2 linked regions of the Macaca mulatta genome follow. The protein of the gene in region 1 purifies or fractionates together with the protein of each later gene. This does not show direct contact. Links are inferred from orthologs where the notes say so. Each region holds a gene or a part of one and is shown on either strand. Other genes may lie near its edges. The genes, in order: POLR2B and MED26.

Region 1 (6,595 bases):
AGAATTGTTTACTTGTAATGTTTATGGAATAATGACAAGAAAAAAAGTCTGTACATTTTTACAAGGGCACAATTTTTTTCTAATATTCTCTTTTTTGTTGAGACAGGGCCTTACTGTTACCCAGGCTGAAGTGCAGTGGTGTGATCACAGCTCACTGTAGCCTCAAACTCTTAGGGCTCAAGCAATCCTCCCACCTCAGTATCCCAAGTAGCTGGGATCACAGGTACACGCCACCATGCCCAGCTAATTTTTAAATTTTTTTGTAGAGATGAGGTCTCCCTATGTTGCCCAGGCTGGTCTCAAACTCCTGGCCTCAAGCTTTTTAATATTTTCAATCCAAGATTAATTGAATATACAGATGTGAAACCTACAGATACAGAGGGCCAACAGTGCCCTTCACCAAGACAGAGAACACAGGAGGCAGTGACTTTGGGAGGGGAATAGCAAAAGAAAATAATTAGCTCAGTTTGGGCAGTGACAAGGTGAAGTAGCCTGGGAGATATCCTAGTTGGCCAGTGGCAGTTAGATACCAGGGCTTTTAAACTAGAAGTATACATTCAGAAGTCATCCACATACAAATGGTAACTAAACAATGTAAAATGGATGAGATCACCCAAAGAGAATGTGAACAGGAAAGAAAATGAGAACAAAAGTCAGATAAGAAGAATCAAGTGGAAGTGATGTGGCTAGAAAGCTGAGTGAGTTTCCAGGAAGATGTCATCAACAGTTTTGAAGACCACAGGGTTTAGATAAGATTTTTTAAATATCCATCTCATTTATCAATTGAGAAGTCACTGTCAATCTTAGAGCTATCTTAATGCAGTAGCATGAGTAGAAACATATTGTAATCAGTTGAAAAGGACATGAAAGATGAAAATTAGAAACAAGGACAGCTTATTATTTTTATGTTTGGCTGTGAATGAAAGGAGAAAGGTAAAATACTAGAAGAAAAAGGAAAAAATGAAAAGTTTAACTTGTTTCCATGTGGATGACAGAAATCTGACATTTTCACATAGTGGCTGAAAACTGATGAGGACATTATCTAATAAACATTTCAGAGGACATGGGCAAGAATAAAATGTAGGCTCACTGCTAAAGCAACTATGATAAACTCTTTTTTGCACGGGATCATTATACATTGCAAAACTAGTACAAATCACCACTATGGTGGTCACTTGGCATCATCTAGCAAAATGTTAAAGGTGTGTATCATTTGACGTGACAATTTTATATGTAGAAATGCATCCCACAGACATACTTGGGCAAATTATATGTACAAGATTATTCATTTACAGCACTGAACCCGAAAATGACTAGAAATAAATCAAATATCCATCAAGAGACTACTTAAGTTATGGTACATCCACACAAACTAAGTAACTGGCGGAGTGGGCGAAGGGGCGGGGGCGATGCTTTCTGTGTACTGATACAAAAATCTAGATACATTAAGCAAAATCTAAAAGTGGAGAAAAGTGTGAATATTACTTTCTGTCTTTAAAAAAGGAGAAAAATCCCATTTATATTTGCTCAAATATGCATAAAGAAACTGTGGAGGCTGGGCGCAGTAGCTCACACCTGCAGTCCCAGCACTTTGGGAGGCTGAGGCAGGTGAATCACCTGAGGTCAGGAGCTTGAGATCAGCCTGGCCAACGTGGAGAAACCCTGTCTCTACTAAAAATACTAATATTAGCTGGGCATGTTGGTGCACGCCTGTAATCCCAGCTACTAGGGAGGCTGAGGCAGGAGAACTGCTTGAACCTGGGAGACGGAGGTTACAGTGAGCCAAGATTGCACCACTGCACTCAAGCCTGGGCAACAGAGCAAGACTGTCAAAAAAAAAAAAAAAAAAAAAGAAACTGCGGAGTGATTAAAATCTATTGTAACAGTAGTTACCCACTGTGGAGAGTTCAAACTGGGCAGATGGTGGGTAAGAAGGAGACCTGACACTTTAATTTTTTTTTTTTTTGAGACAGGGTCTCACTTTGTTCTTGGCTCACAGCAGTGTCAACTTCCAAGGCTCAAGCGATCCTCCTGCCTCAGCTCCCCAAGTAGCTGGGACTATAGGTGAGCACCACCACACCCAGCTAATGTTTCCATTTCTTATAGAGAGGGGGTCTCCCCTGTTGCCCAGGCTGGTCTTGAACTGCTGAGCTCAAGCGATCCACCCACCTCAAGCTCCCAAAATGCAGGGATAACATGCGTGAGACACTGTACCAGCCACCCCACTTTAACGTTTTTAAACTTTCTGGCTTGTGAGCTGAGAATGTATTACCTAGCCAAAAATTATGCTTTAAAAAATCTTTTTTTCGAATTTTTCTTCTACTGAGATAACAGTTAAAAAGAACAAGTACTATAATGATGCTAATAAATTTCTAGAACACAAGATATAAATGAGACAGAAGTTTAAACAGCTTTAAAAGTTTAAGTTTTTGGCTGGGCACAGTGGCTTACGCCTGTAATCCCAGCACTTTGGGAGGTTGAGACAGGCAGATGGCTTGAGCTCAGGAGTTTGAGAACAGCCTGAGCAACATGGCCAGACCCTATCTCTCAAAAAAAATTTTTTAAAAAGTTTAAGCTTTTGCTTCAATTTTTTCCATCTCATTTATCAGAAGTAGCTGAGGGAATAAAGAGAGGAGATGTAAGGGGTGGCCAAGGAATTGAGAGCTAGAAGAAAATAAGATTTGCATTAGTAGATATGGAGAATAGAAAAGGCAGCTATGAAAATACACTAGATTCAACTAAGAATTCTGTTTTTTTTTTTTTTTTTTTTTTTTTTTTCAAGACAAGAGTCTTACTCTGTCATTCAGGCTGTGGTGCAGAGGCGCAATCTCAGCTCACTGCAACCTCTGCCTCCTGGGCTCAAGCGATGTGGCCTCAGCCTCCCGAATAACTGGGATTACAGGCGCGCGCCATCACACTCGGCTAATTTTTGTATTTTTAGTAGATGCGGGATTTCCCCCATGTTGGTCAGGCTGGCCTCAAACGATCTGCACGTCTCGGCCTCCCAAAGTGCTGGTGGGAGCCATCGCGCTCGGCCACTACTAAGAATTCCATATGCGCAAAGAAACAGATATTATACATTGGTCCAGTGTAGCAGAATACATATCATCTGAGAACTGTGACATTGTGAGAACTGTGACACTGTGAGAAGAGGAAATTTAAACGCCATCCTTTAAGACAATTTACTTTGACTTACAAACAGCATGAAGAAATGTCAGACTAAACCGAGTCCTCCCACCCTCCCCCCCGATATTCTCTGTCCCGATATATTTCCAGGGCCTTCCACACTGCCTGACACAGGCTGACACTCAACACTTCAGCTATTCAGTAAGTCGACTGTGGCTTTAAGGAAAAATTTTAAAGGGTGCTCTTTGCTTCAAATTCAAAACCACGGAATTTATCTTACGGTTCTGCACGCTACTTCACTACAGGAAGCGAGGATCAGATCTAAGGGAACGAGAAAGTGCAGAGCAGCAGTGAACCTAACCGGGAACATTAACGCTGTGTTCCCTGCACCCTCTGCCTCTCCCTACCCCAGTTTCGTTCCCGGCCTGAAAGGTGTGGGAACAAGGCTAGGGACTGTCCGGCCGGCGGGAGGGAAGGCCCCAATCATCAATCCAATCAGTTCCCCAAGCTTCCCTGCTGGACCGCCGTGGCATGTGTTTCACCTACCCTCATCCGCGTCGTACATATTGCCAAACGGTTCCCGAGCTCCTAACTCGAAATCAAAGACAAAAAGCGCGCAGAAGCCACCAGCGTCGGGAGCTAAAGACCAAGTAACTTCCGTCTCCGACGTTCCCAGAATACTGTGCGTCTCACACAAGAGGCCGCCCACAGGGACGCCAAAGTTAGGATCTGCGCCTGCGCAAATTGTAGGGCAAGCTTGGGCGGGAGTTGGGTTGCACACGCGCAAATTGTGGGCCGCCGCTGCCGGTGGCTGATTGAGAGGACAGCTCCCGCAATCTGCTGTCGCATCCGTCCCGTTAATGTTTTATTTCTGCTTGTTTTTCAATGTCGTTGCACAAATAACGACACCTGAAAACAAAGCCAAGTATACTTATTAATAAAAAGTGCTCGTTCTGTGAATCCGCGACATTGGGATGCTCAATTGATTTGCCTTTATAAAGACCAAAACACGAAGCAATTTTTATTTTTATTTGTTTATTATTTTTTGAAATGGAGTCTCGTTCTGTTGCCCAGGCTGGAGTGCAGTGGAGCGATCTCGGCTCACTGCAACCTCCGTCTCCCGGGTTCAAGCGATTCTCCTGCCTCGGCCTCCCAAATAGCTGGGATTACAGGCGCGCGCCACCACGCCCGGCTAATTTTTGTATTTTTAGTAGAGACGGGGTTTCACCACGTTTGCCAGGCTGGTCTCGATCTCAGGTGATCCGCCCGCCTCGGCCTCCCAAGGTGCTGGGATTAGAGGCGAGCTGCCCGCTCGCCTACCGTTCCAGCCACGCGCCCGGCCAGAAGCTCCGTTTTGTTTTGTTTTGTTTTGTTTTGTTTGAGACGGAGTTTCGCTCTGTCGCCCAAGCTTGAGTGCAGTGGCGCGACCTCGGCTCACTGCAAGCTCCGCCTCCCGGGTTCACGCCATTCTCCTGCCTCAGCCTCCTGAGTAGCTGGGACTACAGGCGCCCGCCACCACGCCCGGTTTATTTTTTGTATTTTTAGTAGAGACAGGGTTTCGCCGTCTTAGCCAGGATGGTTTCGATCTCCTAACCTCATGATCCGCCCGCCTCGGCCTCCCAAAGTGCTGGGATCACAGGCGTGAGCCACCGCGCCCGGCCCGGAAGCTCCTTTTTAAATGTGATTTATTACGGGCGGCTTGGGCTAGCAGTGAGGCGTTAAGCCTGAAAGTGAAAAAACTCAAAACGCTCATCGCTCTCTTCTGCCCATCTAGCTCAATCCTCCAGTGCCTCCAATGCCTTTACTATAGCTTTAAGTAGGTTCTCAGTCTCGGCGCTTAAATCGCGAGAACTCACGAGATTAGACGCAAAACTAACCAGGACAGCTCCCAGGTACCCACTCGCTTTCGTCTCGGTTCTAACACGCGCGTCGCCTCGGGCCCTAGTACGCGTGCGCGCTTGTGACTCCGCCCCTTTGCCTGGAGCTACTTCCTCATGCTGCCCGCTCGCCTGCAGTTCAGGCTGCTGAGCCTTTTCTTTCGTGGATTCGCTCCCACGGCAGCGCGCCATGGCCTCCGGGAGCCGCTCTTGGGGAGGAGGCGCGCTGCCGCCTCCTCCTTCCAGCACTCATCGAGTCTGGGACGCGAGCTTCCTTATGACCCCGTGGACACGGAGGGCTTTGGAGAAGGTGCTGACATGCAGGAGCGTTTTCTGTTCCCGGAGTACATCCCGGAGCCGGAGCTGGAGCCCACCCGCGAAGAGCAGCTGCAGGAGCTCCAGCAACAGCAGGAGGAGGAGGAGCGACAGAGGCAGCAGCGGCGGGAGGAGCGGCGACAGCAAAACCTACGGACCAGGCCCCGGGAGCACCCGGTCGTGGGGCACCCGGACGCGGCAGTGCCGCCCAGCGGCGTGAACTGCTCGGGCTGCGGGGCAGAGCTGCACTGCCAGGATTCCGGCGTGCCCGGCTACCTGCCCTGCGACAAGTTCCTCCGCATGGCGGAGGCAGACGGCGGGCTGGCGCGGACCGTGTGCCAGCGATGCTGGCTGCTGGTGCACCACCGGCGCGCTCTACGCCTGCAGGTGAGCCGCGAGCAGTACCTGGAGCTGGTGAGCTCCGCGTTGCGGCGGCCCGGGCCTTCCCTGGTTCTCTACATGGTGGACCTGCTCGACCTGCCCGACGCCCTGCTGCCCGACTTGCCCGCGCTGGTGGGCCCCAAGCAGCTGATCGTGCTGGGAAACAAAGTGGACCTCCTGCCCCAGGATGCTCCTGGCTACCGGCAGAGGCTGCGGGAGCGACTGTGGGACGACTGTGCCCGGGCCGGGCTCCTGCTGGCCCCTGGCCACCAAGGGCCACAGATCCCCGTCAAGAACGAGCCACAGGACGGGGAGAATTCGAATCCGCCGAACTGGTCCCGCACGGTGGTCAGAGACGTGCGACTGATCAGCGCCAAGACCGGCTATGGAGTGGAAGAGTTGATCTCTGCCCTTCAGCGCTCCTGGCGCTACCGTGGGGACGTCTACTTAGTGGGCGCCACCAACGCCGGCAAATCCACTCTCTTTAACACGCTCCTGGAGTCCGATTACTGCACCGCCAAGGGCTCCGAGGCCATCGACAGAGCCACCATCTCCCCTTGGCCAGGTGAGTTTTAGGAGGCTCTCTCCCTCTTCGTTTTCTGACAAGGTGGACGTCTGGTCCTAGCTGAGGCACCGACTACATCCTCCCTTAATGTCCACTACGGGCTGCCGGTACCCTTCCCTTTACAAATTCTCTCCCCACTCTGGTCATACCTCTCTTCTGTGTCAGCTTACTGCTAGGAAAAATTCAGGATGTGTTGTAGTAATTTTCTAATTACAGTGTTTATGGAGCACTTCTCTGTTCCCAGTCACTAGGCACTGGAGATAGACCAGGGAACAAAACAAAGTTCCTGTTCTGGAGATCTGCTTTGTAACTTCTTTGTATATTGTTTCAG
Region 2 (6,438 bases), on another chromosome or scaffold:
GCTGGAAGGAACCCTTGGTTTGCTCTGTGAGATTGCATGTCTTAAGGTGTAGCTGTTTCTTCATTTGTGAAATTAAGCAGATACGGATAAGATGACCTATTCCAAAGTGAAAAACTAGAAAACCAAAGTCTTAGCCTACAGTTTCAGGGAAGAGGGGGAACTTAAAAGATGATCACTTTATAGTCAAGGGAGAACTATTTTTTTTGGAGTCAGCAACCACCAGCTAGTAAGGCAGCCGGGGGCCAGGGCCACAGGGTGGGCTGCCACACACACACACACACACACACACAGCTCTAAGTCTCTGGTATTTTGTTAAGGTGGGGGTAGTCACTGAGACCTATGCTATGGAGCCTCCTACGGAGGGCTGCTCTCTAGGCCAGGTAAAGTCTGGGTGAGACAAGATAACGTTCCTTAATGTGGCCCTGAATGAATAAAATGTGAAGGTCCTCCCAAATGCAGCAGCAGGCTAGCAGGTGGACTTCAAAGCACAGTGCCCTGTCCTGTCTCCCTGCATTGCGGCTGTTGGGGTCTAGGTTTTTCTGGCTAATCTACAATCCAGGAAAGGGCTGATTTGGCTGTGAAGGTCCAAATGAGAAAAGATTCTCAGACTGGTTTGTGCAAATGGTTTTTTTTTTTTTTATTTCCACATTTATATCACAAGGTGTCCACTTACTGGACCAAATAGCAAAGTTGCTCCCTTCTGCGTCCTGAGAACACAGAAGTCTAGGTACTGTACATTCACTAAGGCTCCTTGTTTTTGCAAATCGCGTTTATGACAAATAACCATAAGGCAAACGAATCTAAAGGAATGGTTATGAGTGTTTCCAGCGTACAGACAGGTCTCCCCCTCGCCCCACAGTACAGCATAAAACCAGTAGCACCCACAGTCACTTTTGTGTTGTTTTGGGAGGACTCTAGAAAGGTGAAGTTTTCTAGATGTGTACAGGAAGGGAAAAAAGAAAGGGAGGAAGAAAGGAAAGGTTTTTTTTTTGTCTGGTGGTCTGATGGAAGGAGTTGTTAAAATAAACATGAAAAAACTTAAATTTTTGCAGCATTTCTTTAAAAACGGGGTTATAACTGAAACCAGATATAAACAGGTGGCTGCCCATGGAGTGTGGGTCACCCTGGCTGGCCAGCTGGCCCGCCTGCCCGATGCCAGTGGCTCACCACAGCTGAGAAGCTTCTGGCACATGACGGACAACACTGACCTGACAGTGGCTGGGTAGGGAGCAAACAGAGGCAGCATGGCCCACTGTCTCACAGACACTCAGGGCCAAATTAAAGAACAGAAAATGCAAGAGAGATGAGATGCGTGCTTCTGTTGCTGTGTTAAAGGTAACCTCTCCACAGGTTTTCTGTGCCTGCCTGCAACTGAGGTCCCAGCTTTCAGGTGCTGGAAAGTGTCCGCACCTCTTCAGGGGTGAGGGACTAACGCTTTTTATAGCTGGTTTGCTATAGAGTTCTGAACTCACTTTGCCGTCCTTCCTTCCACGCGGTCCTTCCTTCGCAATTTTGTTAGTAAACTGGTAGCAGCATTTCACAAAAGGAGAGTTTTGAGGGAAGAGTGCAGAGAGACCGCGTGACTCCCGCCCCCTCCCTCCTGCCCGGGCCGGACTCCCCGAGTTCCCAGTGCAGGAGGCAGCTGGGCCCCGGCCACCCACCCACCTGCCTGCCCGCCCGCCCGGCTTCTGCAAGATGGGAATGCACTTCGTGGCTGACGGGCCGGTCAGTCCAAACAGACATAAGGCAGAATGTTCAAGCGCCCGTCATCGCCGTGCGGATCAAGTGATATGCACTGCGTCCAGTCATACCAGTTACCCTGTGTGTCCTGACACCCGTTCACCCCCGGCCACTGGCTGGCCTGGATTCTGTCGAGATCGTCCTGTGTGATATCCCGGGTCAGCCCGGGGAGGTCTGTGGGCGGGCTTTGAGGCACCAGCACGTGCAGCTGCCTGGCCCCTTGCCGGGTGCTCTCCTCCTGCTTCAGGTACTCAGACATGAAGTGGTGAGCCCCCGGGGTCTGCGCGCCCGACGATGAGAGCAGGCTGCTCTGCCGGCTCAGGTAGGACTGGATGATCTCGTTGCGTGACAGCTCCTTCCAGTTCGTCTGTTCAAAGGGGCTCTGGAGGCTGGCCTTGGCCTCCTGCTTGTCCAGCTCTGTCCTGGACTGCTGCTCCATGTGCACAGGGCTGTCTGCCCGCACTGGCTCTTTCTGGGTCAGAGGTTTGATCTGTCTTGTCATGGGGTCAAAGGTGAGCTTCCGCTCTTTTAACCGGACAGGCTTGACGCCCGCCTCAGCCACCTGCCCGTCCAAGTTAACCGTGTAATCTCGAGGCCGGTACCTCTTCTTCTTTTTACTGTCCGAGCCCCCTGAGGAGGCAGCGTCACTGTCCGCCTTGGAGGAGTCTGGGGAGAAGCCCGCCCGGGACAGGAGGGGCTCGGCTGGGGACAGCCCTGCCTTGCAGCCCGGCCCCGCCAGCCGCTGGTGGCTTTCCGGCTGCTCAAGCCAGCGCACTGGGCTTTCCGCACTGGGCAGCAGCTCAAGCCGCCGTACAGGGGGTGTGGACGGCTGTGCCAGTGGAAGCGGTGACGGCACCTGTGTGGCATCGAGCGCCTGGGGCCGCGGTGAGGGGCTGGGCACGGAGCCCTTGGGTGCATACAAGCTCTGCTGCCGGGCAAAGGAGCCCTCATGCCGTGAGTTCCGAGGACTGAAAGAGCAGCGAGGGGGCCCCTTGGGGTGGGGAGGCCCCGGAGTCTCATCCACCCTGTCCAACTGCTGCAGCACCGAAGCCTTTGGCTGCAAGCAGGGTCCAGGGGGCTTGCCCAGGCCTGGGGAGCTGGTGTGCGGCCGCACAGCGTTGATGGGGATCTTGCCACTGTGCTTGTCGTTCTCGCCACGCTCCAGGCGGCCGCCCTCTGGGCCTGCATGCCCACTGCCATCCAGGGAGCCAGGGAAGCTCTCTGGACTCCCACTGATGCCATTGGTAGGGAGGGGGGATGAGTTGGGGACCAGGGGGTCGTGGCTAGCTTTGGAGACCTTAGGTGGTGGCCCTGGGTGGCCGAGGTCACGCTGGTCACCCCTGCGCTTGCGGCTGCCCAGCCTGTCCAGCCGCTGCCCGGGCAGCCTCTGGAGGTCATTGCGGCTCTTCAGGTCATGGATGCTCCTGGGCGGGCCAGCCGCCCCCACCTCCGGCCGGCAGTTGTGTGCACCCCCGTTGGCAGAGCCAGTGGCCCCCGCCAGCCCCCGCAGCGCTGCCTCATGCTGGTGCGCTGGCTCGATGAGCTTCTGCCAGCTCCGCAGCAGCTTCTTGGCCCGCTTGGCGAGCTCCTCGTTCTTGGTTTTCTTGCGGACGTCGTTGATGAGCTTCCCAAGTCGTGTTTCCTACAACCAGAAAGAGAGATGATGACATACTTTCGGGACAGGGACTTCCCCATGAGCTGAGCCAGAAATGGTGGGAAATGGCCCTGACAATGAAATGACCTGGTTCCCACTGAGCCCTAAACTGCCAGCCTCCCTGGCACAAAACTCCTGGGGATTTCCGGTCCTTTGTGACAATATAAATTCTCAAACCTAGTCCCCAGACCTTCAGAGTCCCAGGTGGCTTCTCAGCAGTGCTGTCCCGCAGGCTCCTGGTGCCAGGGGGCTGTCAAGGCCACTGTAAGGACACTGCCAGGGAGGCTTTCTGGATGAGAGGGTGCTGTGGCCAAGGCGGCAGCACAGAGGGTCTGCTTCAAGTGGAGGGTTGGGGACGGCGCCTCTCATTGGAGCCTCCCCCAAGCACACCTCTCCTGATGTCCCCATGTCCCCACGTGCCCACGTGCCCATGAAGTGTGCTGGGCAGGTAGGATGGGATTAATGCCACTTGGTCACTGCAGTGGCCACAGGAGAGCAAGATCACGGGGCACAAGCTGTGAGGGCACACCGCCTCTCTTGGTCCTCTGAAGCAAAGACACACGCTCCTAGAAGCTGGGGAAGGAACTGGGTTGGTGCCGTCCCCTGTCCCCCATTCTGCACTCCCAAATGCTGGGGTCTGGGATACTCACCTCAAGTGCCTCTTTGGTAATGGGGTATTTCTCCAGGCTGGAGATGACTTCCAGCACCGCCACCATGTTCCGGATCTGTGGAAATAAAGAAAAAGCCATTTGTCAGGTTCCTGCCCTTCTCCCCTGGGAGGCAGGGACACCCTACCCCAGCCTGCTCCAGTCTCTCCCCAACCCCAGAGCAAGAGGAGCTGGCAGCACTGAAGCCCCCACTCCATGTAGTCTCCTACCTGCTCCCCAGGCCAACCTGGCGCCCAGTGCTCATCCTCACCCGCTGTCCGACCTCCTCCAGTGTGTGGTGTGCGGTCTGCTCCAAACCCTCCAGTGTACATGGTACATATCCACCCACCTGCTGAAACCCAGGATGCTTGTGAAACAAGAGCTGCTCCTGATACTTAAAATGACCTCTACTCTGCCATCTGATGGGAGTGGGAGAGGAGACACTGAAGAATTCATCGAATAAAATCCACAAAGCTTAAAAGATCAATACATAGGCTGGGCGCGGGTGGCTCACGCCTGTAATCCCAGCACTTTGGGAGGCCGATGAGGGCGGATCACGAGATCAGGAGTTTTGAGACCAGCCTGGCGAACACAGTGAAACCCCATCTGTACTAAAAATAAAAAAATTAGCTGGGTGTGCTGGCATGCGCCTGTAGTCCCAGCTACTCGGGAGGCTGAGGCATGAGAACTGCTTGAACCCGGGAGGCAGAGGTTGCAGTGAGCCAAGACCACGCCACTGCACTCCAGCCTGGGTGACAGAGCGAGACTCCGTTAAAAAAAAAAAAAATTCAATACATAATAAACCAGTCGATTTGAATCCAAAGACACCATAAAGAGAGCAGAAAGTCACAAAGTGGGAGAAGGCATAGACCACAAGCCCCAAGGAGCTGTATCTGGAACACACAGAGAATGCCTGTGCAGCAGTGCAGCTGACCAGGAACCCAGCGCACAGTGGCTACAAGACAGGAACAGGCACTGTGCAATGAAATGTCAGCGCTAATGCTCAGCTTCTCAGCTTTATCAATAATTAGGAAAACTCAAACTGAACCCACAAATGGATATATGATACACGCACCCCACTGACAATACTAGGTACTTCTGGGGGTACAGCCGACTTTGGGAACGGCTGGACTTTGTCTGGCAGAGTGAAACATGAACACATCCTATGACCGAGTAATCCCACCCTTTTAGGATCTTGCTAGGAGCCACACCTTGTTCTAAGCACTTCCCACACATTACTAACTCCTTTAATTGTTACAACAAGAATTCCTACCGCTCAACCGCCACCTCCAGCAGCTACAGGTTTCTGGTGGGCTGGCTGGCAGGCGGGAACCCAGGGGCCCTGAGGAAACCACAGTGAGTAGATTACACAACTCCCCCCCACCCCCACCCCAACATGATAAAGGAGTTAAGCAGGCACATGATACAAATTAAAACAGCGTAAAAGGGCACACAAGGAAATGGGCATCTCTGACCCAGCCACTGTAGCATTACCTTGCATTTTTTTCCAAAAATATCCCTTGTGTATGCAGGCGTATACATCTACACTTGTCACATATTTCAAAACCAAACTGACCGTGGTTCTTGCCTTTTCTGACTTAACATCAGCAATGTCCAGCCTCAAACAGAGCCCCTCATTTGGCTCACCATCCCTTCCAGAGTGGGGAAGGCCCGACTTGAATGTTGTGGGACACTTAGGCACTTTCTGTTCGCCATTACAAAACAAGGCTGCAACTGACGGCAGTGACAGACTTGACTCTGGGCTAATGCACAGACAGCCGCGGGTGAGCCGGGGCTTCACATCCATGCAGGGTGGTCACCTCGCCCCCAGGGAGGCTGCTCCATTCCATTCCCACCAGGCCACATCCTTGCCAAGACTGCGTGGCATGAGTTTCCATAACACGTGATTGTAAACTCAGCATCTTACACAGCACACATTTATCATCTCAGGCTCTAGGGCTCAGAAGTCAGGTCTCGGTCTCACTGGGCTGGGATCCTCTCTGGAGGATCCATTTCCTGCTCCTTCAGGTGTTAGCAGAGTTCAGCTCTTACTTATTTTTTTGAGACGAAGTTTTCCTCTTGTCGCCCAGGCTGGAGTGCAATGGCATGATCTCAGCTCACTGCAACCTCCGCCTCCTGGGTTCAAGCAATTCTCCTGCCTCAGCCTCCCGAATAGCTGGGATTATAGGCACCCGCTACCACGCCCAGCTAATTTTTGTATTTTTTTAGTAGGGATGGGGCTTTCACCATGTTGAAGGCTGGTCTGGAACTCCTGACCTCAGGTGGTCCACCCTCCTCGGCCTCCCAAAGTGCTGGGATTACAGGCGTGAGCCACGGCGTCTGGCTGAGTTCAGCTCTTTACACTGCAGGAATGAGGCCCATTTTCTTGCTGGTTGT

What was found.
Region 2: the proteins of POLR2B (region 1) and MED26 purify together in Homo sapiens (affinity purification with mass spectrometry; 3 studies listed by BioGRID and IntAct, with this or other methods). This does not show direct contact. The link is inferred for Macaca mulatta from reciprocal best matches to the Homo sapiens genes POLR2B and MED26.

The regions. Positions count from the first base shown.
Region 1 is NC_133410.1:76,508,987-76,515,581, forward strand, and holds the start of POLR2B (DNA-directed RNA polymerase II subunit RPB2), read right to left. Parts: upstream 3,742-6,595; 5' UTR 3,692-3,741; coding exon 3,673-3,691; intron 1-3,672. UniProt on the Homo sapiens protein: Catalytic core component of RNA polymerase II (Pol II), a DNA-dependent RNA polymerase which synthesizes mRNA precursors and many functional non-coding RNAs using the four ribonucleoside triphosphates as substrates.
Region 2 is NC_133424.1:17,071,207-17,077,644, forward strand, and holds MED26 (mediator of RNA polymerase II transcription subunit 26), read right to left. Parts: upstream 4,456-6,438; 5' UTR 4,374-4,455; coding exon 4,272-4,373; intron 4,120-4,271; coding exon 4,045-4,119; intron 3,383-4,044; coding exon 1,727-3,382; 3' UTR 613-1,726; downstream 1-612. UniProt on the Homo sapiens protein: Component of the Mediator complex, a coactivator involved in the regulated transcription of nearly all RNA polymerase II-dependent genes.